2 linked regions of the Styela clava genome follow. The protein of the gene in region 1 purifies or fractionates together with the protein of each later gene. This does not show direct contact. Links are inferred from orthologs where the notes say so. Each region holds a gene or a part of one and is shown in the gene's direction. Other genes may lie near its edges.

Region 1 (16,847 bases):
GTATCATCTCGAATTACAAATTGTTCATGCAAAGAAACAATCTGAGTGAACATGTGGCCCGTCGCTTAATTATCTGTGGCTCGCGTCGCATTTTTAGGAAGGTAAACAAAAAAATTGCATTCAATGTTGTTTTGTCATAAAAATAACCAGAAAAATCATTCGACCTATTGTTACATCACTAATGTCACTGAATTAACTATAGTGCTATGGCTAGCTGAGGCAACTAGCGAAGTCGAATAATGGGCTTGGCTAGTCTAAATTGCTAACTGGCTTTCTATCTTTTGGTCGGCAATATATACTAACAAAATAGGCTCCATAGAAAACTAAAAATCGAATGAGGAGAGACAGACAGAGAGAAAGAGAGATTTAATATTTTGGCACCCAAAATAAAACAGCAGTCATCGTAATAATAGAAATAATACCAATAAAATATTTTAGTATGGACAGGAGGGAGAGATACGACCACGCGTTCAACTCCCCCCTCACACTATTATGTTTAAGATTCACAAATTCAGATGACTAAATGTAAATGTAGAACATTCTAGAATTTTATAATGATCAAATTTTTGTTTGCAAGGGTATGTCAAAAGTAAGATATGAGGCAATTAAATAACAAATAAGAAATGTAAATTACATCAAAATACAATGCAGAGATGAAGTCCATCATTTTCATAAAATATGAATATGAAAAGCACAATTGGTGAGATAAGTTATACATAAATATACATATAAGAGAATGATTTTTAAACAATCCCGAATATGAATGCTAGTAAGATAAGGTGACCATACGTCCTCCTTTTGGAGGATTTGCCCTCTTCTTTCGTTAAAAAATTTACGTCCTCCAAGGACGCTCTAAAATGTCCTCTTTTTTTCGCGGGATAAATATTTAAAATTCTTTTATGATATTATCAACAGCGTTTGATATGTTAAGAAAATTTCAAAGTCAGTAGATTATCATTATACACATGACAACTATCATTATAGATATGACAAGCAATATATTGCGTCGTGATAGCATACACACGGGGTTTATCGTTTTGTTCTGCAATTAGGTGTTACATCATTTCACCTCGTATTTCGCAATTTATTAAAGTTTCTATTTTGGCAGAAAATTACGTCAGAAGATTATGCCCAAAAGAAAACCCTTTTTTTACTAAGGAACTAAGGGAAGAATATCCAAAAGCATCCTCTGAGTCTGTTTTAGTACACTCACTTAGTTTACAATTTTAAAGACATTTTTTGCAGCTTGCCTTTTGAAAAAAATGTTGACAGCAATGTTGACGATGATTAAAAGAGCGGCCAAATAATCCTGGTCTAAAATCTAAATCGATTGTTCTGCAGATGTTCATAATAAAGACAAAGATGTATTATTTCATTGTCGTCACTTCGTCTATTGTCACTTCTATATTTAATCCTAGGGAATTTAGTAGATATATTATAATATATCATGCACAGATGAAATGTGTTTTTACCAAACAATTTGTCCTTCTTTTTGGATTTGAAAGTATGGTCACCCTAAGTAAGATATATATCAAGTGGAATGATACTAATGTAGAATTTTTTATGGCCAAAACACAATTACAATGTTAAGTATAAATTAGTGTTAGGTTAACCATAGGGGTGTAGGTGTACAACTTGAAAGATTTGTTTTAGAATCGATAGCGAGTAATTGGCTTACAATGGACACTCTGGTTAGCATGCCCAAATATACTAGTGCGAATTTTTTTTTACATTTCCACAAAATGTACTGTAGGTTTGGTATTAGTCTAGGACTATAATGATGAATTATCAGACATGGAAGAAATACTGTATTCAATGATACGTAAGACCATGGTCAAGCCACCACGAGTCTTATAATATATATATATATATATATGCAGTGGTTAAATCCAAATTTTTGTTCAGCCGGTTCCATCACAAAAGTCATATTTTTCAGTCGGTTCTGCTACAAAAAGTCATATTTTTTAGGAACTTTTCTTGAGATTAAAGTAGTAGCAAGAACAGGATGCAAGTCCAGGTTCCAGCGAATGGTGCGAGTCGGCTCAATCTCATCACTGCTAACAGCAACACGAAAGGGCAGCAGTCGTCTCATGACTTGTACTCATGACGAACAATTCAATTTTCAGACAAACAATCACAAATAGAAAATTACTACAATTATAAAAATTAACATAATGTATAACTGTTAGGTGCAAACTTAATCATTTCATATTTCACAACATCACAAAAAACACGTGGGCTACTTGAAAATCGGTGTGTCCCTATACCAGGTATGGCGAACCTTTTTTAAGAGTGGGTCAAAAATTATAATTTTATCGCGGAACAGAAGAGAGTGGGTCACAGATATTTAATTCACGTTTGTATCTATAAGAAACTTCTTAAACGAATCTTATAAGCTGGTGTTGGTGTAGTTTTGGGCTTTACTTATGCAGAACTTCTATCAGGGACTTTTCATGGCACTCGGTTTTATGATATTGGAGTACGAAAAAAACGCATATGAATTACCAAAAACGTTTAGGATGATGCGTTAAATTATTTTACGGTTCTAGTGTTTGGAGGTAATTCCGCTTTGATAGTGTTATAATTTTCGATCAGCTTCCAACCACATTAAGCGACTTTTAAACTGCCCCATTGTTATATCAGATTTCTAGATTTTTATTTCAAGTCTGAAAGTTTTTGTTTTCACAACGGCATTGTAGGCGAGAAACTAATAAAATGCAAAGTAGCATCTATTTCCTGTATAACCCCTAAAAAAAGTCTGCAGATGCACTTCCAAAAAAGACAGGCGTTGCGAGAAATGAACAACCTCCCTCAATAGTATTGTTATTTCATAAACGATGTCAGGTCCAATAGCTGAATAACGGTACACAGCGGTGCATACATGCGTACAAGATTAGGGGTTTGAAAATTACCATACCGGCCCGAAAATCAACATTTTGAACATGCGCGATCGCAGCCCTCCCTGACTGTCCAACTGACGGTACATTATAATAGTTTAGTGATTGTTAGATTAATTTAAGGCCGGTTTTATCAATTTTTATCACTGATATGTTAGCATTTTTTTTTATTTTTTTCGTGCCTTCGCTCGCCGGGTCACAAATAAAACGCGGTGGGTCACTTTGTGACCCGCGGGTCAGTGGTTTTTACGAGTGTTTTGGAGAGCAGACATTTAAAAACTGATTCCCATGTTCAAAGTTCTCATTTTCACCAAGATATCTGATTAACCACGTGAGGCTCACATGTACTGATAGCTAATTTTAGCTAAGTCTATCGCAGCTTTTTCGGGACTAATTTCTGGTTATTGAACTAAACTAAAGCTCCACGGATGACATAATGAAAATTGAATTACTTGATTCACAACTAATTTTTGTAAATAGAATTTAAACCTGGCAAATCACACAAAAACGAGCGAATGTTTACAACCATTGCTCGAATATCAGTCTGAATGAAGAAGTGTCTGAGCGACTGCACAAATTGCCATTGTTTGGTCATTTTGACTTATCGCTTGTTGGTGATTGTTACGAATATGAACAAGAAAACAGACGCTCGGGAAACATCTCCCGCATCTACAACAAAAATTTAGCAAAACGTTCATATGTACCGTACATTTCGTGTCCAATTTTTCTGGCGTGTTCTGTGTGCATAGAATAATGATACACTCCCGCATACTACCCGTAGTGCCATATTTTGGGGGGCTGAAAAAGATTTGATTTAGTATAAAATCTAAATTTCATCGTTGAATAATTCACTTTCATTTTGACTTACGACCTCTAGATATCTTTATCGAGCGTATTTAAATCAATTCACATGAAGTATTAACTATAGTACAAGGCCAACCAAGTTAAGCAATCTAAGTAAAATACAATCTAAAGAACAAGAACGAAACAGTTAAAACATGCAATGAAATATAATGTAATGTTCATCTCCACCCTCCAGCAGAGGCGCAGAGTCTTTTAAATTAAGAAATGTTTTGTTCAGTTCAGTTAACATTATAGTTCTCCTCAAGTCGTCCTGGCTTGTTGTAGGGCTGTAACCTCTGAAGCGCCCTAGGCAATCTTGGAGCTCTGCTGGTTAGCGATGGGCTCACATGATGACTTGGTTGTATTTCCACCGGAGTGTCTTGAGTAGTTCCTGCATTATGACTCCCAGAGTTTCCAATGTCTTCATCTCTCTCTCCGCTGGGGGGAATTGTTGGTGAGAATGGCATGATCGGCGGAGGCTGAATGATGATGCAAGGTCGTATAAATCGTCTGTTTTGTATAGTCACTCTTCCCGAGCCATCTACTCTGATTTTGTATTGTCTGTAAGGTAGGATTTCTACAATTCGACCAGTCCTGTTCCAGTGTCGTGGCTTGTTTGGGACTTGTGATTGTATAACGACTGTTGTCCCAACTGACAGTGGAGGGAGTTGTCTCGATGTGTTGTTATATTTGTCGATAATGATGTGATGGCGGTTAGCTAGTTTCTGCTCACGTTCCCCTGCAGATATAATCCATTGTGGATGGGGACGGTAATGCTGTGGATTTGTAGGAACGTGATCCCGCAGTTGTCTATGCAGAAGTATCTGAGCTGGGCTGAGATCAATGTCTTGCAGAGGAGTGTTCCTGTATTGTAGGATTGCCTGTGCTGCCTTATTATTATTCAGAGAACCGTCAGGCGATGTGCTATCACGTATGATCCTCTTGGCAGTTTTAACTCCGAGCTCTGCCCGTCCATTAGATTGTGGGTAAGATGCTGAGGACTTTCGATGCTTTATTCCCCAATCAGTTAAAAAGTTCTGGAATTCGGATGAGGTGAATTGAGGTCCACCGTCTGAGTCAAATTCTTCTGGTGCTCCATAGGATGTGAATAACCCACGACATGAGTTGATGAGCTCTTTAGTGATTGATCGATGTGGTGGGTAATGAAAAATACTGATCCAACCACTAAATCTGTCTACAACAGATAGGTAGCAGTGGTTCCCCAGTACAAAGTAGTCGGCGCATATGTGTTGAAAGGGATACTGTGGCGCCGGGCTCGATATCATTGGCTCTTTAGTTTGAGATGGAGCGTATTTCGTGCATGTGAGGCATCCAAATCGAAAGTTTCGGATCATGGCGTTCATGCCCGGCCAATAGACTGATTGGTTTGCTCTTGCTTTCATGCCTGTGATCCCTTGATGCGCAGAGTGTAGTGACCTCAGTATGGTCTTGCGAAGGGGAGTGGGAATAACTATGCGAGAGTCCATTAGTATTACATTGTCTTTAGTTGATAGGCGATCTCTCACACCCCAATAATCCCGGATTTCAGGCGGTGTCCCATGTCTTGTGTTAGGGAATCCATTCTCAATTGTTTTGATGAGTATGTTGTAGCTTTTGTCAGACTTTCCATGGCTTCTAATGTGATCCAGGGTCACAAGCGCATCGTCATCATTTATTGAGTTGATGACAGATTGTTGAATTGCGTGAACACGAGCTTCGCACTGCTCTGTTGTTGTTACTTCATCAGATGATGGGTCATTTCGTGCTATGTCCATCACTGCATTTTTCGTATCTGTTATTTCCAAGGCTGTGGGATTGCGTGATAAAGCATCGGGTGCTTTGTGCCATTTCCCTGGGCAATGCTGCATTGTGAATCTATATCGCAGGGTGTGTTCTTTCAAGTTTTGTATTCGAGGATTTTTAATACTATCCAGGTCTCGATCTTTAAAGATTCCCAATAAGGGTTTGTGGTCAGTGGACACAATGAGGTTTTGGCAACCTAAGGTAAACATTCGTGCGTGTTGTAAGGCCCAGGATACTGCTAATGCTTCTCCTTCAGTGGGTGAGTATCGACTTTCTGTTGGCGTGGTGAACCTGGAGTTGGCATAAACCAAATGCCAACCATCTTTGCAGCAAATAGGAACTTTATCGATCGAGCAATCACAGTATTTTTGAAGAAGAACGTATCCGATCCCATCTTTGCTCCAGTCACATTGGAGGCAAGTTGCACGTTTTGTGTCAAAGGAACGTATGCCCTGTTTAACTGTCTCACACAGTAATTGTTTTGATGTTTCAAATATTTTTTCCAAAGCTTCATCCCAGTAAAATTTTGAGTTTGGCTTTATGAGTTCACGAAAAGGTAACATTATTTCACTTATTGAATAAGCCCATGAAACTTGATTAACTAAACCAAACCAAGATCTGGCTCCAGTGATGTCTTTAGAGACTGGGAAATCTCTAATTGCTTTGAGAAGTTCTGCTGATGGTGTTATGCCATCTGGTGTTATGTTGTATCCTGCGAATGAGATTGTGTCTCTGCAAAATTTAAATTTCTTTGAATTCAGTACAATGCCATTTGTTGCGCATGTTGCTAGGTAATCCCAAGTGTGGAAGAAGGCTTCTTCTATATTTGTATCATATAGTAGCGTGTCGTCAACGCATTTTACTTTGCGAGGTGTATTGTTTATAATATCATCATAACGTCTTGTGTATGCATCTCCAGCTGCAATGAATCCTTGAGGCATTCGTTTGTACATGTATCTTCCCCATTCAGTTATGAAAGTCGTTAAATGCTGACTTTCCTCATCCAGTTCTATGGCGTGATATCCATCTACAGCATCCAGTACGGTCTTTTTAGTTTTAGGAGGTATCTGACATGCCAGTTGAAATGGTGTCTGACAATGATGAGTTTCTCTCAATGACTGGGAGTTTAGGTGCTGGAGGTCTATAGTACGTCTGGGTGTGCCATCCTTCTTTGCAATTGTTACCATTCTGCTGCACCATTCAACTGGTTGCCCTACAGGGACAGGTTCTATAATACCCCTTTCTACATCTCTGTCTAGACTGGATTTCACTGCTTCTTTCCAGTGGTATGGTACTGGAATAGGAGTATGATGTGCAAATGGTTGAGCATCAGACTTTAGGTGAATGTGGGCTGGGGGTGCATTCATTTTTGGAAATGGTGTGACATTGTTAAATGCAGTGTTTGCAAATTCCGCCAATAATGACATTTCCAGTCGGGGGACGTTCGTGTCCATTGGTGGGAATGGCAAATTTCTTGGTCGTTTTGGTAATTGGCCCAATGAATTCTCACTAGTGGGGATGTCTGCTGTGCTAATTTTTGCCACGTTTGCTCCCATTTCCATAGGGTAAGGAAATGCTTTAGAAAGGATTCTGGTATCAATGCAGCCTTGGCGACTGAAGTACATACGATCCACTTTGTTACAAATGTAAACTTGTTGTGTGGTAGAGTGTCCACCAATTACAAATTTGACCGGCAGCCAGCCGAAGCAAGTCAGTGTTGATCCTCCAACTGCCGTCACTATCTTATGACATTTAAGCAACTGATTTTGTTTGATTTGCATGCTCTGCAAATGCTTTGGGCCAGCTAAGCAAATGTTTGCTCCACTATCTGGGAATATTAGTACCGTGCATGGTTTCGAGTTGCGATTCTGAGGAAATGGATGTACTGTTGCTTGAATTTCATCCATTCCATGTTGTCCTGTAGTAAAGCAGTGACGTTTTTCGTTATAACGTACATGAGCTAGTAGGGCATTAGCTTCTGCTTGTGGTTGGTTTTTCTGGGGCTGATTCACCTGTCGGCAAACTCGAGCAAAGTGATTGAGCTGTTTACAGTTGGTGCAAGTTTTCCCCCAGGCAGGACATTTTGTTGAACGGTTCCTTGAACCTGGAAATCCGTGAGATAGACTTCCACAACCTGCGCATGGCCTTTGCGATTCGCGGGTGTTTGGTGTTTGTTTGTTGTAAGTTTGTGCCGCATATACTTCTGCGGTTTTCTGAAGTTTTGATTGGTCTCTTACAGCGGTTTCAAAGGCTTCTGAATGTTTGATAACATCTTCTAAAGTCTTAAATTGGTTGGCCTTGGCGAGCAATTCAGTCTGGAGGCTTGTGCTATGGACACCTCTGATGAATTGATCTCGAACGTGGTGTGACGATAGGTTGTGTTTGCATTGAGGACAAGAAAATTCACAGTCCACTGCTACTGACTTCAGTCTGGTGATGAATTCCTGAATAGATTCTGTTTCTGTTTGAATTATTGCACCAAAGTTCATGCGATGAACTGTGGGGTTTGAACGTTGTGTAACAATTGTTTCAATTGCTTTAAGAATATCCTCTTCATCGAGACTGAAAAAGTCCGTTACTGTGTTGATTATGCTTGTTTGAACTGCTTCATCGCACATGTTGTATAACTGGGAACTGTATTGTTCATCAGAAAGTCTTGTCATTTTCTTAAACACTTCCCAATCTGTTTTGAATTTTCGAAATTGAGGTCGTGTCATGTTTATTTCTATCCGCGGCATTCTGGGTGGAGGAGGCTTTATGATATTAGAGTCATTTCTTGGTGCATCTATTGTTTGTTGTGTGTGGGCTTCGAGTGTCATTTTTGCTTTGCTGTGGCTGAGGATGGCTAAAATATCCCCAACAGCTTGGATACCCAAATCAGACAAATCTGTTTTAGATAGATTAGGAAGTGTGACTTCAGTTATACGGTTTTCCATGAATTTTCTAGAATATATTGATGCTTCCTCCGCAGGTATTTCAGCTGATATGAAAAAATCTCTCCAACTGTCTTCTGTTCGCAGCGCCATATTTAAATCAATTCACATGAAGTATTAACTATAGTACAAGGCCAACCAAGTTAAGCAATCTAAGTAAAATACAATCTAAAGAACAAGAACGAAACAGTTAAAACATGCAATGAAATATAATGTAATGTTCAGAGCGTACGCTCAAATTCGTGACATGATTACAAATGACTTACAGACTTATGACGATTGCAGTATTGCAACACATACTAGCAAGTTAGTATGAATGAGTAGTTATCGTTTTGCTACGCAGGATTTGTCATAGCAAGGTCACAGGACAGATCTCGGAAATCTTTATTTATTTTAAATATACATTTGATTTGATAACATTGCCGGGATGACATACAGCGTTATCGGCGCGGGTGATGTGTCTGTCAGTCTGTGTGTGTGTAGGTACCGTAGGTCAGTACCGGTACCGTATGACCGTAGGTATTCTACTTTGGAGTCGTCAAAATACCGTACTGTCACCTCAAAGTACCGTACCAGTGCTCCAAGATACAGAGAAAGGGTCTAGCGAAGTAAACACTGCAAGTGGTTGAATAATGCCAAACTAAATAGTGATATAGTGATGCCGAACAAAAATTTGTGAATCAAAAATACCGGCAAAATTTTAACTATTTTTTTATATAAAGGTCTGTATCAGCGGAACACTATACCAGTATACCCTATTTGGCATGGGACATTGACTACTGAGTGGATTTGATTTTATCAGAATGCATCTGTCAAAAATTTCATTGCTCGCCAGAAAGACTTTATTTTAAAAACATAAAAATTTGACATCACATTTCTGTTTAGCGTTATTCATGCAGTTTCGGTGGTATTTTCACGTCTCATTTAAGGCTGTAAGGCTAGACCCGAGATACAATAGGTACAATAGGTACAATAGGTATCATTTTTATCCTCTGGTGATATGATACAGTCAGCTGGTTTCAGACGCGATTCCAAAATTGCAAGAGTCTGAAGAGAGTAGGTTTCACTATACTCCAGTACTCTGATACTGCTATATGAATGAGTAAACTTGCATTCTTTTCTCTTCGCAAATTATTAACGATATATCACTGTATCAAAAAGATATGAATAATATATATTATACTGATATATCAAACAGGTCTTAAACAGGTTAATACAAATATTTAACATTACTAATTAGTTGTTTGAATTCTTATCAAATGGACCCTGAAACTAACGCTGCTGATGATGCTACTATGCCGAAAGATTCTTCAGCACCATTAATATCAACTTTAGATTTTTTTTTACTGAGTGCTCTGATTGGATTCGGAGTTTACTGGTTCTTTTTCCGTCGTGATAACTCTATTAAAGATGACGAATTTCGAAAGCTCTCTGTCGTGTAAGTCGGATTGAATTCAATTAGCTAACTTACATACTGTACATCTGAGAATACCAATTCTGGTTACAATTATATACTGTATATGTTTATAATTTTTTTTTATCCAATTGTGAGTAATGGACTGGTCAAGCTTATGTGTCTAACTACCTTATATCTTTATTGACAATTCTTAGGGTCATTGAATCGGGCTATAAAGTATGCATGTTTTGCATGTGTTTATACAGACATTCGAAAATTAATTATATTTGGTATAGTGAGTTCTTAATAACTTTAGGAATATTCTCAGTTTGAAAGTTTTTTCATATCCTTTTTTTGCTTCTATTCAAGTTTGAACTACAGTTAATATTACAAAATGAAACTATATTTTCACAGCCAACCAACACTCACTCGAACAGATTCTTTCATGGATGGGTTTATATCACGAATGAAAAAAGGCGTAAGTGTATTTTTACTGTGTAAAATTTTGCATTAAATATGATTGAAGTGAGAAATTGACAAAGAAATTTTTCGTAAATAATGATTCCATTATAAATATGGTAAATTTTAGGTATCAAATAGTGATTTAATTCATCTTAAGTTCTTAAACAATAAAGAACTTTTGGATAGCATGGCTTTTAATTTATTTGTTGAAACTAAACTAATCTGGGAACATCCCTAATTTCAAACAGAGATATTTTGGACCGCTCATTAAATTTAAAAAAAACATGAAAATAATATTAATAAGACTGGACTACTGTGCGACTTGAAAACCATTGCCTCATTTTACATACCGGTATATAGTTCTGAGATTTCATTTTTATTTCTTTGTATTTCCTAACCTGATTTCCTCTCTATTTTAGGGTCGAAACATAGCAATATTCTATGGATCACAAACTGGTACGGCTGAAGAATTTGCTGGTAGATTGATGAAAGATGCTCAAAGATATGGAATGAAAGCTTTAGTTCTTGATCCAGAAGGTAACATCTTGGTTTTCCATTGTTTTTTCATAGTTGATAATGTTTCAATTGATTCCCGAATGAATTAGAGTGTGATATAGGCTGTTTATGTATGCTGGAATGATCTTTATGTTCTTGAAAACGTGATTAGTACCTTTTTGAATCGAGTGCATAGTGGTATTCGAGCAATCAGTTGTTTAGTGGATTTTCATTTTTTTAAATGTCTGTTTGCCAAGTACACCCTCTTTTTCGCCTTACATATTGTATGAAGATGATAGATTCTCCGAGAGTAGATTTTCTGTTATAACCAGAAAGGAAATTATTACCATACTTTAATCCAAAGTTATGTTAGGTGTGACTGGCAAATATAGGTGATAAAATTCAAAATATGGTACCGGTAAGTGCAATTTGAAAAAGCTATATTTTTAGCAGTTTAGATTTAAACTGAAGTTTTGAAAAAAGTTGCAATTTTTTAAATAGCAGGATATATATTCTAAATTGTGTGACGCTGAAAATAAGTGGGAGGATAAAAATTGATGAACTTTTTAATTATTTTTTTTTAGGTTTGTGAATAATTTTGTATCTTATGATTTACTTAGAATGTAGCATGGATCAACTGCCTGAAGTTATCAACATAGAAAAATCTCTTGCTATATTTTGTATGGCCACATATGGGGAAGGTGATCCAACTGACAATGCCCAAGATTTTTATGAATGGTTGGAAAATTGTGACGAAGATTTGAAGGGAATGAAATTTGCGGTAAGATTTATAAGAAGGTACTCCCGTATGTGTACCAGGTTAGGGTTAGGCCATAATTTTATTCCGATTTTTCTTATTTTAGTTCTATTACGAGTTCGGGTACTGTCTGTCTTAGCCAAGTGAATATCCTCCTGCCCATAGGTTTCAGTCCCTTTACACAACTTGATGTAAAATAGGTGAACAAAATTAGTTACCTCCATATTGGTACCCATACTTCTGGAGCGCCTATAAGAATAATATGGATTATTTTTTTACTTGAAAATGTTACCAGTTGGATTTTTAGTTTTGTAATAATTTGAAAAATATCAGTCAATAAAAACCTTTCTATGTCACTGGATTGATAATCATAAATGCTTCGTGATGGAATTTCTGTTATCAAGTTTGTTGGCGGAAATTTGCTCATTTTCGTTTCTCCTTATTCCTGGTATTGATGAACAAGGATATCCTGGTTTCTAGTCATAAGTGACGCACTGCACACAATGATTGATTGTTATGGGAAAGTCGCTAGTTATTATTTAATTACTGAGCTAATTGATGTGACTATTAGCCCATCATGATGATACCAATAACAATTTCTTATTGGAGTACCATTTTCAGCTATTTTTTCTTTTTTTAGTTTTCTTTTTTGGGAAATATTTCTAATTTGTTGCACTGAGTGAGTCAATTTTTATTGGCAAAACACTAATTCGGAATATCTGAATTGCTAAAGAATCGTCATTTCCTTGTTTGAATTTCATCAAAATTTATAAAGGCCAATTTCTCTATAAATTTGAATGATACAGTGAGTAAAATATAGTTTATTGCAATCATGATTATTTGTTCAGGTGTTTGGTCTTGGAAATCGTACATATGAACATTACAATTCCATGGCCAAATTTGTTGACAAACGTCTCGAGGAACTGGGCGGAGAACGGGTTTATCCTCTTGGTTTGGGTGACGATGATGCCAAGTAAGTCTCTCATTCAAAACTCCGTCAAAATATTAAAATCCTGTCTTTTTCGCTCTCTTTCCGTAGCGTCCGCTATTCATAAAACTTTCTCTTGCTTAAATTGCTAACATTTGAAGCTGTTGTATATTGAATAATTTAAAATTTGAAATATTTAGTCAAATCTTATTTTCTTTAAAATGAAATTAACATTAATCAAGGTGAGAAAATGCAAGTTTTAAAAGGGGGCTAAATTTTGGCCACATATGCTTTCAACTCAGATCACACTCAGACCAAAAATTTTGATGTTTTTATTCCAGTGCTAAAATTATTATCTTATCTTTCTTATTTTTATTATTATTATCTTTTAAAGAATCTTGATTTTTCAGCAGCAAATGTAAGCATTGTATCTTTTTTCCTGGTAGTATTGAATTGAAATCTCCAATCAGCATTTACTGGCGGGTAATCCTGTATAGTTCTGGTAGCTTTTGGCAATTTGGTAGTTGCTTGTAAATTTCCCAGCAACCAGTTTTTTTTAGTCCTAGGTTAGCACCCTAAACCTTGTTCGAGCAGTTCTCCTAAACAATAGTATTGAAAAATGTTGATATTATAATCAACTCTTTCAATTCAGCATTGAAGAAGATTTTGTGACGTGGAAAGAAGGTTTTTGGCCAGCAGTTTGTCAAAATCTTGGTGTAGAATCATCTGGGGAAGATGTTTCTTTCCGTGCTTATACTTTAACTGTTCATGACACTGATGTATTAAACATGGAAACTGTTTACACAGGGGAAGTTGCCAGAATCAAGTCTTATAAGAATCAAAGACCGTAAGTTAGATTGCTTTCTTGATTTTCTTCATGTTTTGTCATGAACATTATTTTGCCATGGAAACGATATCATGTCATGAATCGATTGTTAGCCTTTTTGCGATTTAGAATTGTTCATGTAAGCATTGTCTACTATGTTGTTTAGCATTGAACTCAAATCTGTAAAACGCATATGAAACAAAAAACTGTTTCACAATCCCATACGCAACATGGACTGGTAACCGGACGAGAGGCCGTGTTACGCAATGTCATCAAGTTGTCTTATCTGCTTTCTTCTCCCCCTGAAAAAATAGGAAAAAACAATTCTGAAGACTACTAAAATGCTTAACTCGTTATTATAAAACCTAAACTATTTATTTCCCTCTTAGAATGAAATAAGCCTTAGTTTTAGTTTTTTTCGTTGTCCATGTATTTACAGTGAAATGCCCAAATAAGTACACTGAATACATTCTGCAATTTTCCCTTTTGTTTATTCCATGACAAAGAGTGTTAATTAGATCATTGTTCATATGATGAGTATTTAACATATTGATAATGTTATTTCATTTTGTCCTATAATGCAACAAAATCATGATATGTAACAATTTGGCTGCTCCAGAAGTGTATGTACCAATATGGAGGTGTCGCCTACTTTACATCAAGTTGTGTAAAGGGATAGAAACCATGGACAGGGGGTAATATTCACTTTGGCACAGACAGTCCCCGAACTCGTAATAGAACTAAAATAAGGAAAAACTGGAATAAAATTATGGCCTAACCCTAACCTGGTACACATGCTACGAGAGTATCACAATTTGCACATTATCACTTGCAAGCTCAGGTTGACAGCATTCTACAAATGTAACAAGTTTATACAGCAAGATAAAGTACAAGGGCACCTTTATTTCATTTAAACATGACCTATATCTTTGTGTACAAACCACAAATACTGAGCCCTGTGTGGCATTAACATTTTCTTATTTGAACCAGCCGTGACGATGTGTAATTCAAACTTCATTAGGAATGGCACAATGATGTTAGATACACATATTATGTTTGGTTTTATCATACCAATAAGACTGAATCGTAGATAATACTTGAATAGATCGTATCTTAATTTGCCTATTCTTTTCAGACCATATGATTCGAAAAATCCATATCTTTCTCCTATTAATGTAAATAGAGAATTGCACAATGGTGGTGACAGGTCATGTATGCATATTGAATTTGATATCACGGATACACGTATAAGGTAACCGGCACGTGCCTCAATTTTATTTATTTAGTGACGACTTTGTTGATTTAGATTTTTGTAGGAAACTTCAGGAGAATTATATCTTGTAGCCTATTTATTCGAAATGCCCTATTTAATGGTTTTCTAACTTTTAACTGAAAATTTCTGGATTTTTTTTACAATAAAATCGAAAAGGCTTCAAAATTGTCTTTTCTGAACATAGGCAATTTGAATGAGCAAGCCCTTGGTTTCAAAGGTTGTCTCACAAGCCAGAAACATTATCAAAACAATTTTTTAACATTTCTTTAAAGTGTAAAAGTGTTGTTTTTTTTACAGACACAGTGCATATTTATGCATAATCAATATATGTACATACAATGTACTTGTATCTTAGGCTATGTTATATCATGCAATAAAAATTTAATAAGGGAAGAATTTCAGAGCCTATATCAATCAATTTAATGCGTTCAACTGCTTTGTAGTAAGCTCTTGTTTCTATTCATTTGTGTTGCAAACTTGAAATATCATGTAGGCTATATTATTTTTCTATGTCAGATATGAGACAGGAGACCATGTAGCTGTTTATCCAGTCAATGATACAACGATCGTTGAAGCTATCGGAAAGAGAGTTGGAATAGATCTTGATACTATTTTTTCACTGAATAATCTTGATGGTAGGCTGATTTTTAAATCACCATCTGGGTGCTAATATAGTTTTTCAGTGAACTTGTTGCTACGAACTATTTCATGACTCCTCGAGGTTTTTTTATGTAAGAATTTAAAAACAACTGGAGAGTTTAAAATTACAGCTTTAGTTAAAAATCACTTTATTGGATCGATGTATAAATGAATTCTGATGTTCGTGTCATAATATTGAATATTCATATCAATATTTAATTTCTGTCTCAATCAGGGCTGCGCAGCTAAGTTAAAATCTCAATGGTTCCTACTCCAGAACTTCATTTTTACACCCTGTAGCTGGGGCTCAGCCCCACAGCCATCAGGGTTTTTATATGACCACTAACAATAATCCTTCACCCAAATGCAGTTTTGCAGAAGCAGGACTCAAAAGCACCATATTGGGATTTCATATTTAGGAATCAAATTTTGAATATATAAATTCAACTTTTTAAAACAGTGTTAAAATTAAAAGTTAGAAATTAAATTTAAGAAAATTATAAGCTGGAAAGGATCTGGCTTCAGCTCCAACAAAACACCACGGCTTCAGGGCTTTGGGTCCAGCTCCTCCGGCACTGGTCTAAATACTAATGATCAGAAATTTATACTATTATACAAGGGTATAATATTATATGTTTAATACAGTTCGCTGATAAACGATTTTATACCAGGAAGTTCCTTCTTTCTACCTCTTTAACTTGGTATGTTCCTGGTAATGCTGGGGGATAATAGAAATTTACTGTTTTGTTCTTTATTTGTGGTAAAAAATTATATAGCTTTATATTTGTTCGCAGGATATCATATCTTATTACACAGTTTATATTAGGGTAGCTGAGACATAAAATTTATATAAAAATAAAAATCTGATTTCAGATTAATCTGCTCAGAATAAGAAAGCCAATAAGGCAGCTTATTTCTATGGGAAAAAACGGCCTCTCATCAGTTACCATGTCCATGTTGGGTTTGAAATCAGTTGCTATTGATGGTGGAGGAAGCTGTAGTCGACCAGCGGTTATGTTAACCATCCAATGGCAGCAAAGAATCTAGCAATCATTCGCATATATTTATACTATAATGTTTCAAGCCTATGAACCATGCAGGGTAATCATGAGCACGATGACGAGCATATCCTTAACGCTTAGCATGATGCGCCGCTCGCTGGGTTACCACATAACCACTAATTTACAGTTGATTCAATTACGCAAACCCCATCTAATGGTATTTCATGCTTCAATTTTGGTACATACTTCTTCACGAGGTTTCTATATTGTGCCTGCCATATATGAATAACTGTCTTACATTTTTCAGAGGAATCGAACAAAAAGCATCCGTTTCCTTGCCCAACGTCTTATCGCACTGCTTTAACTCACTATCTTGATATTATCCATCCACCACGAACAAATGTCATCCATGAACTTATTGATTACTGCTCTGACGAAAAAGACAAGGATTTTCTGAAGTCATTATCCGACCCCACTCCAGAAGGAAAGGTGGGTAATAATGATACAAACAGTGGGTAAGGTCACGACCTCAGTTATTTTCTAATTGTTCTTTTTATGAAACAGAAAAAGTATCAAGAGTGGGTAGTGGATTCG
Region 2 (15,774 bases), on another chromosome or scaffold:
TTCTAATTTTCTCATTCTTTTTGCCATCGCCCGGTACATCAATTTATCTCGTCTGCTTCCACACGATAATTCGGGTTCCTGTCTTCCTGATTCACAGTTTTTTCCTGACTCACCTTTCTGTCCAGGGAGCCCATTCAGTCCGGGCAGGCCAACAGGACCCATTTCACCAGTTTCACCCTTGCAAACCGAAGGGTCACAAGGCTTGTTATTGGAAATGCCTTCGTTGTCAGACATTACCGCAGAGCAGAATTCATATACATTGACGTTGGTTACGTTGCCTCCGAAGACAACGCTTGCCAGGATTAGATTACTGATTAGCAATCTCAAGAATTGCATTGTGTGCTATTAAGGTATTTCCTAACCTAAATTAAACGAAAAGTATTTAGTAGTTTTAATTCAAACTGATTGTGGCAATAACTAATTATATTGCTTGAAGCTTAAACCAAAACCAAAGAGTTTTTCGTATAGATAAATGGCAAATCGGCTGAACATTGGTGCATGTTTGCCAGCAAGATAACCGTTTAGGTACCAACCAAGTTTCAGTCAGAAATATCAATCTCCAACCCATTCCGTAATAATTTGAATTTTGTGTAAACTAAGAAAACAAACAATCTACACAATATCTTTATCCATCGTTGACGATGTTTGACTGTGTTTTTACAAAAGGAATTGCTTGAAATAATCCCAAAAATAAACATTATTTCCACATCTTTTTCCCAAGCACGACCAAACCATTTCCAAACAAGATAAGCCTAATTCACTATAAATTTTGCACCACCTTTTATGACTATGTTTATGTGCGTTTATATTCTCGTGGCACGGGCGAAACGTTAGAAAAATATCGCAGGTTATTTTCTAAAAAATATATTTCACGTGAAGCGTTGAATCAATAAAATAAAGAAAACCAGATCAAAGATGATCAAGTATGAATTATGCATGAAACGAGTCTTTGAAATCATTTCTAATTATGGTCATTGCATAATCCATAAATGTTAAAAAAACGAAATGATTGTTCTTTGCAAAACATGCTGCAATTATAACGGTTCTTCAAGATACCAAGATATTTTATTTTAGGCGTAGTTAAACTTTATAATTTTTTCAGGTATAGGTAACTATTTTTAGAATCTGATGAATCTGTCGAAAGTATTAATCTGTGTGAAATTCTTATCGCTTCCATGAAGCTTGATAAGTTCTTCTGCCCTGAACTCCCAATTTCTTTTCCACTAAACTTTCCTCCCACTTGATTTTCTTTTGAGCAATCATTACTCTAAGTTGGTCAACTAATAGTTGGTTAAATGTAAATTAATTTGATAAATAATAATAATCTGTGACCCATTCTCATACCAGGGTTTTGTTTCAAAATTGAATTTTTTGATGTCACATTTGATTACAGCATAGCTTTATATAAGTATAATAAACCGATAAGCCGTTTTATATATCTACCTTCGAAAAATACAATTTCAGAACGGAATAAATAGCGGATTTGAATTGACGCAAGAATTCATGTCGATAATATTTTTGCAATGACTGAAATAATTTTTTCTCTTAAAGCCAACACGCCACCTGTACTTAAACCTCAAGCTTTGCTATAACTTTTTGCTTCATTCTTGCAAGCAATGATAATACTCGGAAATATTACGTCCCAAGCAAGCACTTATATATACGTTCCCGAACACAAAATCTATAACAACCTTTTTTCTTAAAATGTCTCGTTCAAAATGGTATTGCGCGACAAAAATTTTCTTGCAGTCAATGGTGTAATATCCCAATAAGCAATAATTAGATTTGAACAAAGGCAGAAAAACAGCGTAGGCGTTTCTCCTGATTACCATCAGCAGAACTTTTTGCGGAAACTCCCTAATCTCTTGTTGGAAGACGAGATCAAACAGTTGAAAATGGCAATTTGTTAAGTAATAACGGACGAAGATCCTTGAAGACTTGCAAAAGGGATTGCTGTTCACAAGTCTTACCATAATATATATAATTCAAATTGTGTCAATCGACATTTTGCTGATATTTTTGTTACCGTCAAATATTCAACTTCACTCTCTCAAAATAAATTACATTATTAGCGCAGATTGTGTGCCCAGGTAGCTATCTATTGTGATCCGAGTTTGGCGTACAATAACGAATATATATAAAAATATATTGTAAGGCATTTGAATTCATATTCTTTCTAACTTTGATTTGGAGAAGGTGGCGGTAAATTTTTTTTATGCTAGCAAAAGTATATATTCAGATCATCTTATAACTAATGTAGAAATTTATATATATATATATATCTGTCATCAGGTTTCACATTAAGCATGTATAATTTTTGAAAATACCTGCCATAAGAACATATTACTTTTCATCTGACCTCAGTGCGGTCAGGGAATTACGGTCAGTGAGTATCAGTCCATCATAACTAATTTTAGTTTGGTCGCTTGGACACGGAACAAAACAACAACAAACTATAGAGTTGCCTAGAAGGTGAACATAACTTAGGATTAAATTGAAAAACGTTGCAGTGCCAGTCAAGAGAATGAATACGTTCCTTCACATGTTTTTTGTGTCTAATCACAGTGTTGGATACGGTCGGCAAGGGGACGGGCTAAAAGTAGGCAATTGAAAATTATGCACGTTCTAGGCCCTTCGGAAAGATGGAAAATGGGTGTAATAACTTCTGAAACATAATGAATTAGCTAAAAATAGTCAAATTAGATGTGACTAATTTTCAAGTTCCTACGTTTAGTCCAGTGGTTGTCAAATTACGGCCCGTGGGCCGGATCCGGTGCACCGAAGATTTTTGTTTGTGTCTGCTGAAATTACGACTATAGTTTTTAGGGATATATATATAAATAAATATATAACGTACCATAAAACAAATATCGTGATGTCTCACGCATTATCCGAACTTGAATATAATCTAGCCTACAAAACGAGCCACATATACCCAGGGGTGGATCAACCATTACGCTATATAAGCACGTGCCCAAGGCATCAAAGAAAGGGTGGCACCACAGAATTTTTGGTAACCCCGTAGTATGCGTACCAGGTTATGGTTAGGACATAATGTTATTTCGATTTTTCTTATTTTAGTTCTATTATGAGTTCGGGGACTGTCTGTGTTAGCCAAGTGAATATAACCCCTGCCCATAGGCAAAAGTCGCTTTATATAACTTGATGTAATGTAGGCGAACAAAAGTAGTTACCTCCATGTTGATACACATACTTCTGGAGCGCCGAATTTTTTATAATAGAATTTTGAATTGCGCTTCAGTGTTTAATGAAATAATTAGAGTTGGTCTGACGACTCAAACCCCAATATTGTCTCCGTTAAACTAAATTTTGCTTTTTTCTCAAGTATCATATTTCCCTCTATAAATGTTTGGGGCATGAGAACTATTTCCAAAATATATCATAATTTGGCCTTCAATCAATAATGAATCCTGAAACTCCATCTTTAATTTCAGATGACAATAGTTTTATTATTATAGGATAGGATTTTACATATTTATCCCGGGGGAGAGGAAAGCAGATAAGACGGCTTATCCATATGGCGAACCACGGCCTCTCGTCCGGTTACCATTCCAAGTCGGGTATATGGGATTAGTTTTACTGTATTGTTTGTTTTCGGAAGCATGGACTTGGTGGTGGAGGAAGCCGTAACCGACCAGCGGTTACGTGAACCACCCAACGACGGCGAGGAGTCCAGCAATCCTCTCGCACATAACCATCCCTGCATGGGATTCGAACCTGCGAACCCACGCAGAGTGATTAGAGGTGCGGTGGCGAGCGTATTCCTAACGCTTAGCCCGTTGAGCCACACCCCCGCGCCGCGCTGTATATTATTATTATTTCTTCTTATACATAGTGCACTAAAGTCTTAAGTGCTCAGGGTCTTTAAACTGCAAATGTCCTGATTAAGCTCAATTAACACTGTTATGCTTAGAGTGGTTGAGTGGGGTACAGCTACCGTACCGATATCGGTATTTCATTATAAATATTGAACGTCAAGGAGTAACGGTACACTACTACATTTCAAAATACTGGTGCAGTATGTGTGAAGAAACAAATATCGGATTTAGTGGCGAATGACGCTTTTTTAAGTATTGAAGTTACAGTTAAATGCTATTCAAAACATATAACGACGGACCTTTTCAACAGTATTACTGTTAAAAAGTACCAGTCGTTTAACGTTTAAATGGCATTTTACCGTTACTTTTTGAAGTTACGATGAAATGCTACTTAGAATATTTATTGACTGACCTTCTTTAATAGTAACACTGTTAAAAAACACCAGTTGTTTAATGTTTAAGTGGCATTTCACCGTTACTTTTTGAAGTTATGGTGAAATGCTACTTAAAATATTTCATGACTGACCGTTCTTAACGATAACCCTGTTAAAAAGCGCCAGTCGTTCAACGTTTAAATGGCATTTCGCAATGGCAATTGAGTTACTTAGCTCGCTCATCGCTTCAGAAATGTGCTTTACAATAGAATAAAAAGATTATAAAACATTGTTGTTGTTGTTGTTGTTGAATATAATATAATTATATTTCTATATAATTCTGTCATAACGCTCGCTAAGGAGAAGTTGCAACTGCAAATTTACGAAAGCTATCCACTGACTATTAGACTGCATAAATTAGTTCTAGACTGCATAAAAATGAATACAAGAAGCATATTAAATATCAGTATCGGACTATCTTTGTTTGAGTCTTGTAAATCAAAAAATGGATGATTTTTTTTAAAAAAAGGTAGTGAGAAAATATGACTCTAGTCTGGCCAAATGTGATTTCATTGAGGCAGGAAATGACTTTGAGCCAAAAACACAATATGTTGAAATTCAATGCTACGTTGCGCATGCGCTTGGATCCTATCAAGCCCCAACTTGTAAGTATGTATGTCAATTTGCCTCAAAAATGTAACAATATCTGTATAATAATTAAACAGTAAAACAGAGACGGGATACATGTTCAAGACCTTACTGGCTCGATACACATATGTGCGACATGCAGCCCTAACAATCATAACAGCAGTTTAAGACTGTTGCGGTATAATAGGACAACAGACATGAAATAGGCTATACAAATAAAACTCTAGTAAAATGCACAAGACGAAGAAGTACGATACAACGACGATAGGTACAATATAGTTAGTTAGTTTATGGCATGTCCATGTCCCAGGTTCCGGTGTGAGAGGATGAAGATCGGGTATGGGTCGCTGGAATGATATATTTTTACAATGAATCTCACGAAACACGTCTTGGTCTGATAATATCCAATATGCAAGCTCAACTTTAGCATTAATGGTAAATTGCATGTGGATACCTACCTCTCTTATACAGTAGTAACTAGTAACACCTCATTGTGGGTCGCACAGGAAGAATGGCAATAAAAGTGAGTCGCGGACTGATAAAAGGTTGAAAGCACTGCAATAGATGTTTGTTGTAGCCTACATTAGCTGTTTCGATAATTTTTTTGCAAATAAACTGTTTTCATTCATAGTTTCATATTGAGCCGCCGGCCCACCAGTCGTTGGGCCCACCAAGCATCTGGAACCGGCATTTGTCCGTCTGGTCTGCGCGTTAGGTTGAAGAGAAATGATTCGTAAGTGACGGATAAGTTCTTTGACATCAATTTTTTTTAATTAGCCTATCTACCGGTGTTTTTCGACTTCTTTCTATTCCACCTGTATCATAGTTAGGCATTGATCACGGGTGTCGCTGCTGGATAACCGGCATTGATTTTTCGTGTCGTGTGTATGTGCATTGAGGTCAACATACGGTTTTGAAAGTTGATACCCGTACCGCGAACCGGTATTTAGTTTAATCCGTATTCTGGTATCTGTACCGTATTGCTGAATCGTGCTAATCTAAATTCAGAAATTAAAATTACGGTACATTTGTCACAAAACTGTGGAGTTGTGACCAGCAATCAAATAATTGATGACCTTTGTACCGGTACCGTAATGTTCTGAGCTTAATACTGTAATAACGCTGAATTTTTAAATTTAAAAGCCCAGCATTAAATTTGTGGGCTGGGTTAGCACTGATGTACGGTACCGAGACCAGGGCTACTCAACTGGCGGATCTTTCGAGTATTAATTTGGACCGCAGCTACTTCTTGACATTATTTCATTTTGTAATGTAATACGTTTTCCGCTAAACCACTGAGGATAAAATTCTCATAACAATAGGCTATAATTTTTTCAGAGCATCGACTGCCTAGCATTGTCTAATCAGCAACGGCTTCCTCCACCACCAAGTCCATGCTTCCGAAAACAAACAATACAGTAAATCTAATCCCATACCCGACTTGGAATGGTAACCGGACGAGAGGCCGTGGTTCGCCATATGAATAAGCCGTCTTATCGGCTTTCCTCTCCCCCGGGATAAATATGTAAATCCTATCCTATCCAGCAAGATGTTAATGGTGGCGTAAAAACTGAACTATTAGCGACCGCATCTGTTTGCTAAAATTTTTATGGACATTCAGACATTGTGGTTTTTCTTAATAAAAAACAAGTTCTTTCCGCAACTAGATATATTATTACGGTTGCTATGGCGGCGAATAACTTCAGATTTATATATATCTTTTCAGCAAAGTGGGCTCAGCTACAGAAGCCTTGTCATACTGGCAGCGAATCGCGATATTGAGTATTGCTCCTGTATTTTGTCAAACAAAACATTTGAAGTATTTTTTGCATAGTTAAAATATATTTTTACAATGACCGAACCTTGGTAATTTTCAAGTTTTGTGTAGCTGAGTTGTGAAAATAGTTGAGTAGCCCTGCTTTAGACTTAACTCATATGATTTCTTGAATAGAGGTTCAAATATCAAATTGAGTTGTTGCTGAGTTCTGAAGTTTGTTTTCAGTATAAAACTATAATGGCTCAAGCGGAATGTGATTTGTGTAACCTTTTGCTGAAGAAATATTTTGGATCCATTGTGTCGAATGTTGGAAAATTTTTATGTAAAAATGGACGACAACCATTAGGTCAAATTATAATCAGCACAAAACTCAAACCATCGTTAGTAAAGAAATCACTATGTGTGCTAATTCAACACAAACTTGTGAGATTTTTTAAAAAGAAAAAGAGAATTGAATACATCTTTGATATGAAAATTGGATTGCGACTTTTACAAATTCCAAAAATAATTTACACAACAAAACTACTGTATGGTGATCCAGGAGAATTGATTATAGAAGAGATTCTTGTCAACGGAATTTCAACTATGGAGTCAACTTTAGAAACAGTTGTCAAACGACTTCAGGAATCAACGGAAAAAGTAAATGAGAATGAAGTTAAAACTATTTTCGAGAATCTCACAAATGCGAGATTTCTTTTAGTCGAACCTAATGTTGAAGATACTGGTGACGTGGACGCAGCTGAAAGTAGAGATAGCGATTCACAATTTCCGGCTGGGAATCGAAAAAGAAAATATTCTGGTAGTGAAAATGATGCTCCTCAGAAAAAGCGAACAAAAAATGCATTCGGTACTTGCTATTCGATAAATTATGCTCGTTATTCTCAATATTTTCGCGATCAAAGTATCATTGCAGGTGTAACACAAAAATTTAATGTTGCATGCGGGGAAATTGTAAGAACATTGTTAAGAATCAGCGAGGTAACAACTTCTGGTGACGCTGAGGTTACTCAACCAATATCCAGTAATGAAATTAAGCATGCGCTCCCTTCAAATATGAACTTATCTGTTGAATACATCGAGCAATATCTAAATATAATGAAGAATGACGAAGGCAACTTCGTACAAAAATCTGACGAAACCAGCAGCGGAACATACGCTGTTAATATAAAGAAATGCATCACAGCGATTTGTCATGCTAACGTTCTTTCTTATGTGCAAGAAAGATTTGGAAGTAAATGCTGCAGAATTTTTAAACTTCTTATGTTAAAAAATCATATGGAACAGAAGCAAGTCGAAGATTTTGCTATGATTCCTTCAAAAGAAGCAAAAGAACTTTTATATCAAATGTGGGCGGAAAATTTGCTAGTCATGCAAGAAATTCCGAAAACTGCTGACCATGCACCTTCTCGCACATATTATCTTTTCAATGTGAATATAAAAAAAGTGGTTCGAACATTGTTATCTCGTTTAAATAAAATGTTAGTAAATCTTCTTGCTCGTCAACAGTATGAAGTTAAAGGCAACAAAAGACTCCTTGAGAAACGGAAAAGAATTGATTCGATAAAAGCAAATTTACAACAAGCTGAAGAGGATCAGCTAGAAGAAATTGAAGAAATGTTGACACCTGCAGAACGAGACCATTTGCAAAAATTAGAACATTGTTGCAATAAACTAGGAAAAAGCCAAATTCAAGCCGAAAATACTGCTTTTCTGTATAATTCATTTTTGGGATCATAATCAGATTGGTGCTTTCTATATTCTATCAGTGACATAACTGTGTGTTATTTCATATTAGGCATTGTGTCTAAAATATAATAATATTAGCACATATTTTTTGCAATTGCTTTAAAATTCAAGTTTCACAAACTAATTTTGACAATTTTTCCTATGAAACCACTGCCTATTGTAGAAAACTAGAAATTGTACTAAAACCGACAACATTTGTTTTTCAAACAGAATAATCCAATAATTAATATCATTAACTGTACAATCCACCTTCAATTAAATCACACTACATCAGGAGAGAACAAGATGTCACAAGGTGAAAGCGTTGCAAAAAGGCGGCACGGAAAATGGAACATTGACATGACATTACGTAAAGGTGAAAGACAACAACAAGAACTGCCTAGTCCTCCTGGATATGGTTCTGATCGTCACCAAGCCAAAGAAACTGTACGAGGGGGAGGGGGGACAGACCAAGCATTGATCGATAAGAAGGGTTGGGATGTCGCTCTTGCCCCAATCAAAAGCCTTCCAATGAATGTCTTCCTCATGTATATGTCTGGAAACACAATTTCAATATTTCCAATTATGATGGTGGGAATGATGTTCTTTCGTCCAGTTCAAGCTTTAATGGGAATTAAAAACACAATGAAAATGTTGGAAAGAGCTCGGCAGTATTATCTACTCACACTTGTTTTTATGCTCGGAAATATTATGGCCATTGGTCTTGCAGTATATAAATGTCACAGTATGGGTCTCTTACCAACGCATGAATCAGACTGGCTTGCATTTGTTAGTCCATTAGAAAGAAAGGAATATGTCTCAGGTGGTGTTGGAATATAGCGTTGGCTGTGAAATACTGCCCCAGCAGAACAATCATATTGTCACCGATATGGTTCAAAATGTGTGACATATTGTATAGCCTATACTTAAAGAGAAAGTGATAAATAAAATCATTGTAGTAAGAATATGATTATTCTTCATTATTAAATCTTAATAATGAAGTTCCCAAAATTCATTAAGTCATATCAAAAACACCATTTTATTTTGAATTGGCATGTCGTATGCTGCTCATTTTTATTTATTTAATACTTTCTGGAAAAATCAAATCTTTGAGTTTATTTTACCATGACCTGAATAATGGCAACAAATGCAATTGTATAATAAGCCAAAGTATAGTCGGTAAACACATCTTTCCCATCACCCACCAAAAAATTGAAATTTGATTAATGTAGTGTTTTATTTTGATAACTAATTTGACAGTTTTTTAAATAAAATTTTTCGATATAATTCTGGTTGAGATAAACATGTTATATATAAACTTGAATTGATGGTTTCATCCATTTTAGTCATAAATGATTAAAAAAAGCAATGCATCATTTCTCTGGTGTAATAATGTTGTGTATGCTATACCAAATTACTATTTTTACAGTTGGTCTGAATGACTGGGTTTTAGCTAGCAATAAGCATATTGCAATTTATGAGTTCCATAGACTGCCATGATTTATGTAAGGATATTAATATACTATTTGCGAAAAGTTGAAGATTTGATTCATTTTGGTTTTCCATTGAACTATTATAAGTTCGGGGGTCCATGCATGACTTTTTGTAATATGCTTTTTTGGTACATGGTAATACAATTTTCACATTTGTTGCTCGGGAGTTCTAAATTTAGTCAATCTGTGCAATTTTTGATGAACATTTAACAACTGTCAAAATATAACCCTTGTTAAAAGCTAAGAATAGGATTACCATTGAATATTTTAATGAGACTATTTGCATAGATTTTTTGAATGCTGCTTCTATGTGTTTTGTCAGAATTTTGTATAAATGTTGTATTTAGATATAACGTTGTTTGCAATAATTTCTTAAATATTGTGTAAATAATCAATTTGTCAATTCAGGATGATATGAAAAGTATTATCAAAAAATGGAATTCATATAAGTATAGATTTGTACCTTGGATTAAATTGAAAAACAAATCACTGCCTTCAGCAAGAGTAACGAACACCTACTCCGATAAAATTATATCAGATGCTGAAGTTTTACAGCAAGTGACAAAAGCATTTAAAAATCTCGAGCGAAGTGAAGAGAAACTGGTTAGATCTCGTGGATTTTCCTTGGAAGTGCGAAAAAGTACACTCACTGGAGCTGGGAGAGGAGTATTTGTGAGACGTGGAGCTATTAAAAAAGGAACCGTGGTTTCTTTCTACCCAGGAACTATTTATCTTCCATATGAGTCGATATTTTTTCAGTCGATTGCCAACCCTTTCATTTTTAGGTGCTCTGATAGTATTTTGATTGACGGAAATAACAAAGGAATCTCTAAATTGATTTTCAAGTCTTGCGCAGGAAGAGACAGAGTTGGACCATATTTGACAGCTGATATAACCTGGCTTAATCCGTACAAAAGTTCATTTAATATTGGACAAATTGTGAATAACCAAACAAGTGCTAATCCAGCAAATGTTTGTTACCAAGAGTTTGATTTTCCTGATGACTTTCTTTAGAACTGAAAAAGTTCATTCCTAATGTGTTTTATCAAAGCCTTTGTGGGCGTCGTGAAATGAGAACAGTGGTCCTTGTTACTACTAGACATATTGAAAAAGGTGAAGAACTATTTTCATCTTACTACACTTTGATAAAGCAATGATTGCAACTCGAATGTTCGGTCGACGAGCATTGCCCATCGCCATGAGGAGAAGGGCAATATTCCAATCAATGACTAATTCATATTCTGTCTCAACAGAGCCGCCTTCGAATGATTCTAAAAAAAACAAAAAACGACCTGAAATAGGGGGTGTTTGTTGCATGACAGGATGTGCGAATTGTGTTTGGATAAAGTATGCAGAAGAGTTGTTGGAGTATTATGGAGGTGTTAACGCTGGCAGGCAAGAAGTATTGAAAGCTATCGATGATGAGGTTGACGATCAGAGTTTAAAAGCATATCTCAAGTTTGAGATTGCTTTGCTGCTGAAAAGCAAGACTTGAATATGCATTTTATGATGTTTATCTGTTGTTGTTAAGAATAAAAAATGTTTATCAACTGTTCCAGATAATGTGTTATTAGTGTTGGGTCTCCCAATGGGTCAATAGTAAGCAAATCTCCCATAAATTTTTCAATATAGTCAAGTCCTGTCAAATTTTAGTGTTAGAAACCCACATTGCTGATGTTTCCAGTGCAAGCATCCATACACACTTGAGTCATGTTGACAACGAGACATGAAACATTCCATTGTGAACTGAACCAATGTTAACTATTTCTTAGCATTCTCTCAGCTTATGTCTGTAACCATTTTCTAATACAGCACTAAACGACATGTTGAATCATCCTCATCCAAGAATTAGTAGAGTCCGTTGATTTTGCTCAAATGGCAGTACTTTAAAGTCACTTTAGCAACCCAACACTGCTATTAAAGTTGTGGTTAGGCAGGGAAGAAAATTTTAACTCTAATTGAGCGCATGGCTTCGGCGGCCTCTTGCAAGGCGTTGCAAATAGCAACTAGACTTCTTGCTGATTTACAAGATTAACAATTGTGTCATGAAACATTTAATACACAATTTGGGTAAAAATCTTTCAAATTATTATTAAACCTTGTTAGGGTTATCAGTTTGGTCCCTACATCTCTTGCCATAATGCATTGTTGGAGGCTTCTACCAAATCAATTAATACCGTTGAGTTTCTGGATGAGCCTAACCCCAGACCAGTGGACGAACCCTCATTTGAAACAAAATATGCTTCCTATACAGAGTACAATAACCTGATTTGACGCTCCAGAATTGCGTTCGCCCACTTTACTTGAATCATGTTGTGTAGAAGGACAGAAGCTTATGGGCAATGGGTATATTCACTTGGCTAACATAGACAGTTCCCGAACTCTTAATAGAACTGAAACTAGAAAAATCTGAAAATAATTATGGCCTAACCTGGTACACAACACTACCGAAGTACCCCTAATTCTGCATATATTCTAACCAGAACCCATGTTATAGTCAAACAAGTCAACTCAAAACACGGAAGCAAATATATTTGCTCAGGTGAGAATAAGACAAAGCACACATCGGAACTTAATTTAAAGAATGAAAACATTTGATGTCTGTAATGCAATTCTAAAATGAGCATCATTGATTTCAACTTAATTCTCCAACATTTTTCTTCTTTAATCTAGATATAACTTTTCTGTCAATTACGAGTCCCAGTGAGACGGCAAGTAAATAATACAAACTACATTTGTAGAGTTTTGAAGCACTGTTACTGTTCCCTTTCCTGTTGAACAAGATTTGAAAATACAATTGTAACTGAAATTGAGGGACACAAAAATTTTACAATTCTTTTTAAATGTTTACCTGTAAAATTGAATAGATTCCTTCATCAACCAGGCATTGAAAGGAGCTGCCATTGCAACAAATGCCCATGAAGTAACTCCGGTGAATGGTGCGGCAAGAGATAACCCACAAAGTGCAAGAGAGTGACCCAAAACTACTGCTTTAGTGGCTTCAGGGTGAGAAAGGGGTAACATATGATAGGATCCTCTGGCATAGTCTCCCTTTCTCCTCCAAGCCAATGCGAAGAAATGTGGAAATTGCCAACAGTACAGAATTCCAGCCAGAATAAAAGCACCTGTTAAAATAAAAATGCCAGTTTTTTATTTGTCAACCAATACATGTCCTCATTTCCATCGGAATAGTAATTATATCATATTCCAGAATTTTCTGCTCCAAATTCAAAAGTGCAATATAAATATTTTATTGTGGTCATACCAGGTGGAGGGATTCAGGGGGTTCGCACAAAACTGGGTACTCCCGTAGTGTGTGTACCAGGTCAGAGTTAGGCCATAATTTCATTCCAAAGGATTCAGTTCCTTTATACAACTTGTAAAGTAGGAGAACAAAATCAGTCAGCTCAATATTGGTACACACACTTCTGGAGCGCCCAAAATTGTTCTTGATCTGGCGATTAGTGTTATATTTAGCATTTTGAAAGTTATGTACTATGAGATTTATGAAAAGCATGTCATATAAAAGCAGCTCACATAGGGACATACATTAGTAAATATGACATATAGGTAGCTGTAGGGCTGTAAGTTCGGCCTGATTTTCCGAAAGGAGTAGTCTGTTGTTTGTGAGTTTAAAAGAGAACCATTCCCTAAAATTGAATCCCACCACTGGTTATATCATGACTCCAAACAAGGTTCTAGACAAGAAAACACTAAAATTTATTGGATACTATTTTGGGATAATGCACATTTTTCAAATGTAGCTTTTCTAAATAGTAACAAATTGAAAATTAAAATTCCTATTACCTGGATCTAAAGACCCTGTTGCAGCTGTCCATCCCATAATAGGAGGAATTGCACCAACAATAGATCCGGCCCAAGTATTCAACCAATGTCTTCTTTTTAATGGAGTGTATATTGCAGCATACAATATAATATTAGAAAGACCAAGCGCTGCTGTAAGACCATTGACACCTGAAAACAAACGGAATAGTCACTCATCAGTTATGTTAAATTGCATATTGCCGTATATAGCTAAACTATAGCCAAGCTAAAATGAATACTATGTCATACCATAATATAAGCAAGACACTCCAGCTATAGCAGATGAAATCCCAAATATAGTTGCATGGAGAGGAGATATAACATTGCGAACTAGAGGACGATTCTTTGTTCTGTCCATTTGTGCATCATATGGCACTTCTGCAATCTAGAAAAAATAATAATATAACTCGGAATACCGTTTGAAGCTGCACCAAATCAAAGTTATAAAACTTACATATAGAAGGGGTGAGCACAATTTTTGAGTACAAGAGCCGCATAATTTTTGAAATTTATATTATTAGAATATCGTTAACAGAAAAGAAATTTACACATGAAAACAATAAATAATATCGCACTGTAACTGAGCTTAATCGCAATCAAGTTGCATCATCGCCAACGCAGCAACAAACATTTAACCATTGTGATGTAAGATTTGTCGCTTGACTGATTTAAATTTAAAATTCCACACTGCAGCAATTTTCATATTAAAACAAAATTTGTCTCAATCATTGATGAAAACTTCTTCTAACGCTCTAATTTTAAAAAAAACACTACGGTTCTACGGTTTTCTCTTAGTTAAATTTGAATAATAATTATGTTAGCGAGAAGAGCCGCATAAAAACTCCCGCGAGGGGCATGCGAGCCGGGGTTCTTCCACAGTTGATATATAGATATTGTATTGATATTAATTACTACGCCATATTGTGTAGGATTTACTGCTAATAAGGAAATGCACAAGTAGTATCTGAGGAATGTGTTTTTAGATAAGTATGTCCTATGCAATTAATTCATCCTTAAGTGTGAAGTATGCAAACATGCCAAAATGACACTTTATTATGCAAGCCACAAAATGCATTATACTTTGGCAAACTTCAACAATTACAGATTATAAATATATAAAAAAATAACATAAAGAAGCAACAGAGGTGAATGAAACGTACTTGATTGAAGGTATTCGCTGCACATGAGCAAAGTAGCGTACCCATAGTGGCAAAGAAAAATAAATGATGATCAAAAGTGACGGGAGCAAGACAGTATCCTGCATCAGCAGTCATGACAACAAACACTAAAAACAGAGTCAGTGTGTTATTTTTATTAACAAAAAAGCAGGTAACCATTGCATAAGTATGTCCTCTTCAAATTCTGTACGTGGATGTTTGCACAGCGGTCGGAATTCTGTCGGTACCAAATTGCAGTCTTTCATTTCAAAGTCAAAATTTCAAATTAAAACTTAGCATCCATTTTAGTGCTTTAACAGTATAATGAAGCAAGATTGCAAACACCATGGTTTTTATTATCAAAATATGATTTTCCTGGAGCCGAACTCACAAATGATTTCAACTCCAAAACCCTCCTCAAATCTATATTCAAGCTATCTATCTGGAACATTAACTATTCTCTAAACAATATTAAAATTTTCCTATACCCTTTGATTAAATGATCATGAGAGTAAATGCATAGGCTACCCCAGGCAATTGCTGAACTGAATGTTCAAATTACTAAAGTATACGAAGAACACTTACATGTTAAATACCATTTTGAAAGAGACATATATATCTTGGGATACTGGTGCCATTTTGTGTCTATCTTTACCCAGGTTGAATCTTGTAACACAGAAATATGTTCATTCTTTAAAGGTTTCGAAATGACATCATTTACTGTTGGGAAGATAACAGTACTTGTGTCTATCTTTTTAACTCTATCAGATTTCAAGTTCTTTGTCTCAAATGTTTTATCATAGTGGAATCTAATGAGTGTTTTATTGAGAGTTGAGGTTTGAGATATTGAAGTACATTTTGAAGTTGGGTGTAAAATGCTGAGAGATGCAAACTGAAGTCTGCCGATATTACAACATCGTTTTCCAAGATGAGAAA

The links.
Region 2: the proteins of NADPH--cytochrome P450 reductase-like (region 1) and ER membrane protein complex subunit 4-like purify together in Homo sapiens (affinity purification with mass spectrometry; 3 studies listed by BioGRID and IntAct, with this or other methods). This does not show direct contact. The link is inferred for Styela clava from reciprocal best matches to the Homo sapiens genes POR and EMC4.

Annotation. Positions count from the first base shown.
Region 1 is NC_135261.1:17,876,091-17,892,937, forward strand, and holds the start of NADPH--cytochrome P450 reductase-like, read left to right. Parts: upstream 1-9,675; 5' UTR 9,676-9,735; coding exon 9,736-9,914; intron 9,915-10,286; coding exon 10,287-10,350; intron 10,351-10,753; coding exon 10,754-10,871; intron 10,872-11,449; coding exon 11,450-11,610; intron 11,611-12,434; coding exon 12,435-12,559; intron 12,560-13,166; coding exon 13,167-13,361; intron 13,362-14,475; coding exon 14,476-14,592; intron 14,593-15,129; coding exon 15,130-15,248; intron 15,249-16,560; coding exon 16,561-16,742; intron 16,743-16,817; coding exon 16,818-16,847. UniProt on the Homo sapiens protein: This enzyme is required for electron transfer from NADP to cytochrome P450 in microsomes. It can also provide electron transfer to heme oxygenase and cytochrome B5.
Region 2 is NC_135250.1:22,924,195-22,939,968, forward strand, and holds ER membrane protein complex subunit 4-like, read left to right. Parts: upstream 1-8,549; 5' UTR 8,550-8,669; coding exon 8,670-9,203; 3' UTR 9,204-10,264; downstream 10,265-15,774. Other genes in the region: putative carboxypeptidase X1, read right to left, coding at 1-336; DNA-directed RNA polymerase III subunit RPC3-like, read left to right, coding at 6,876-8,375; protoheme IX farnesyltransferase, mitochondrial-like, read right to left, coding at 12,492-12,627, 12,708-12,981, 13,664-13,831, 13,931-14,066, 14,842-14,966, 15,424-15,774. UniProt on the Homo sapiens protein: Part of the endoplasmic reticulum membrane protein complex (EMC) that enables the energy-independent insertion into endoplasmic reticulum membranes of newly synthesized membrane proteins.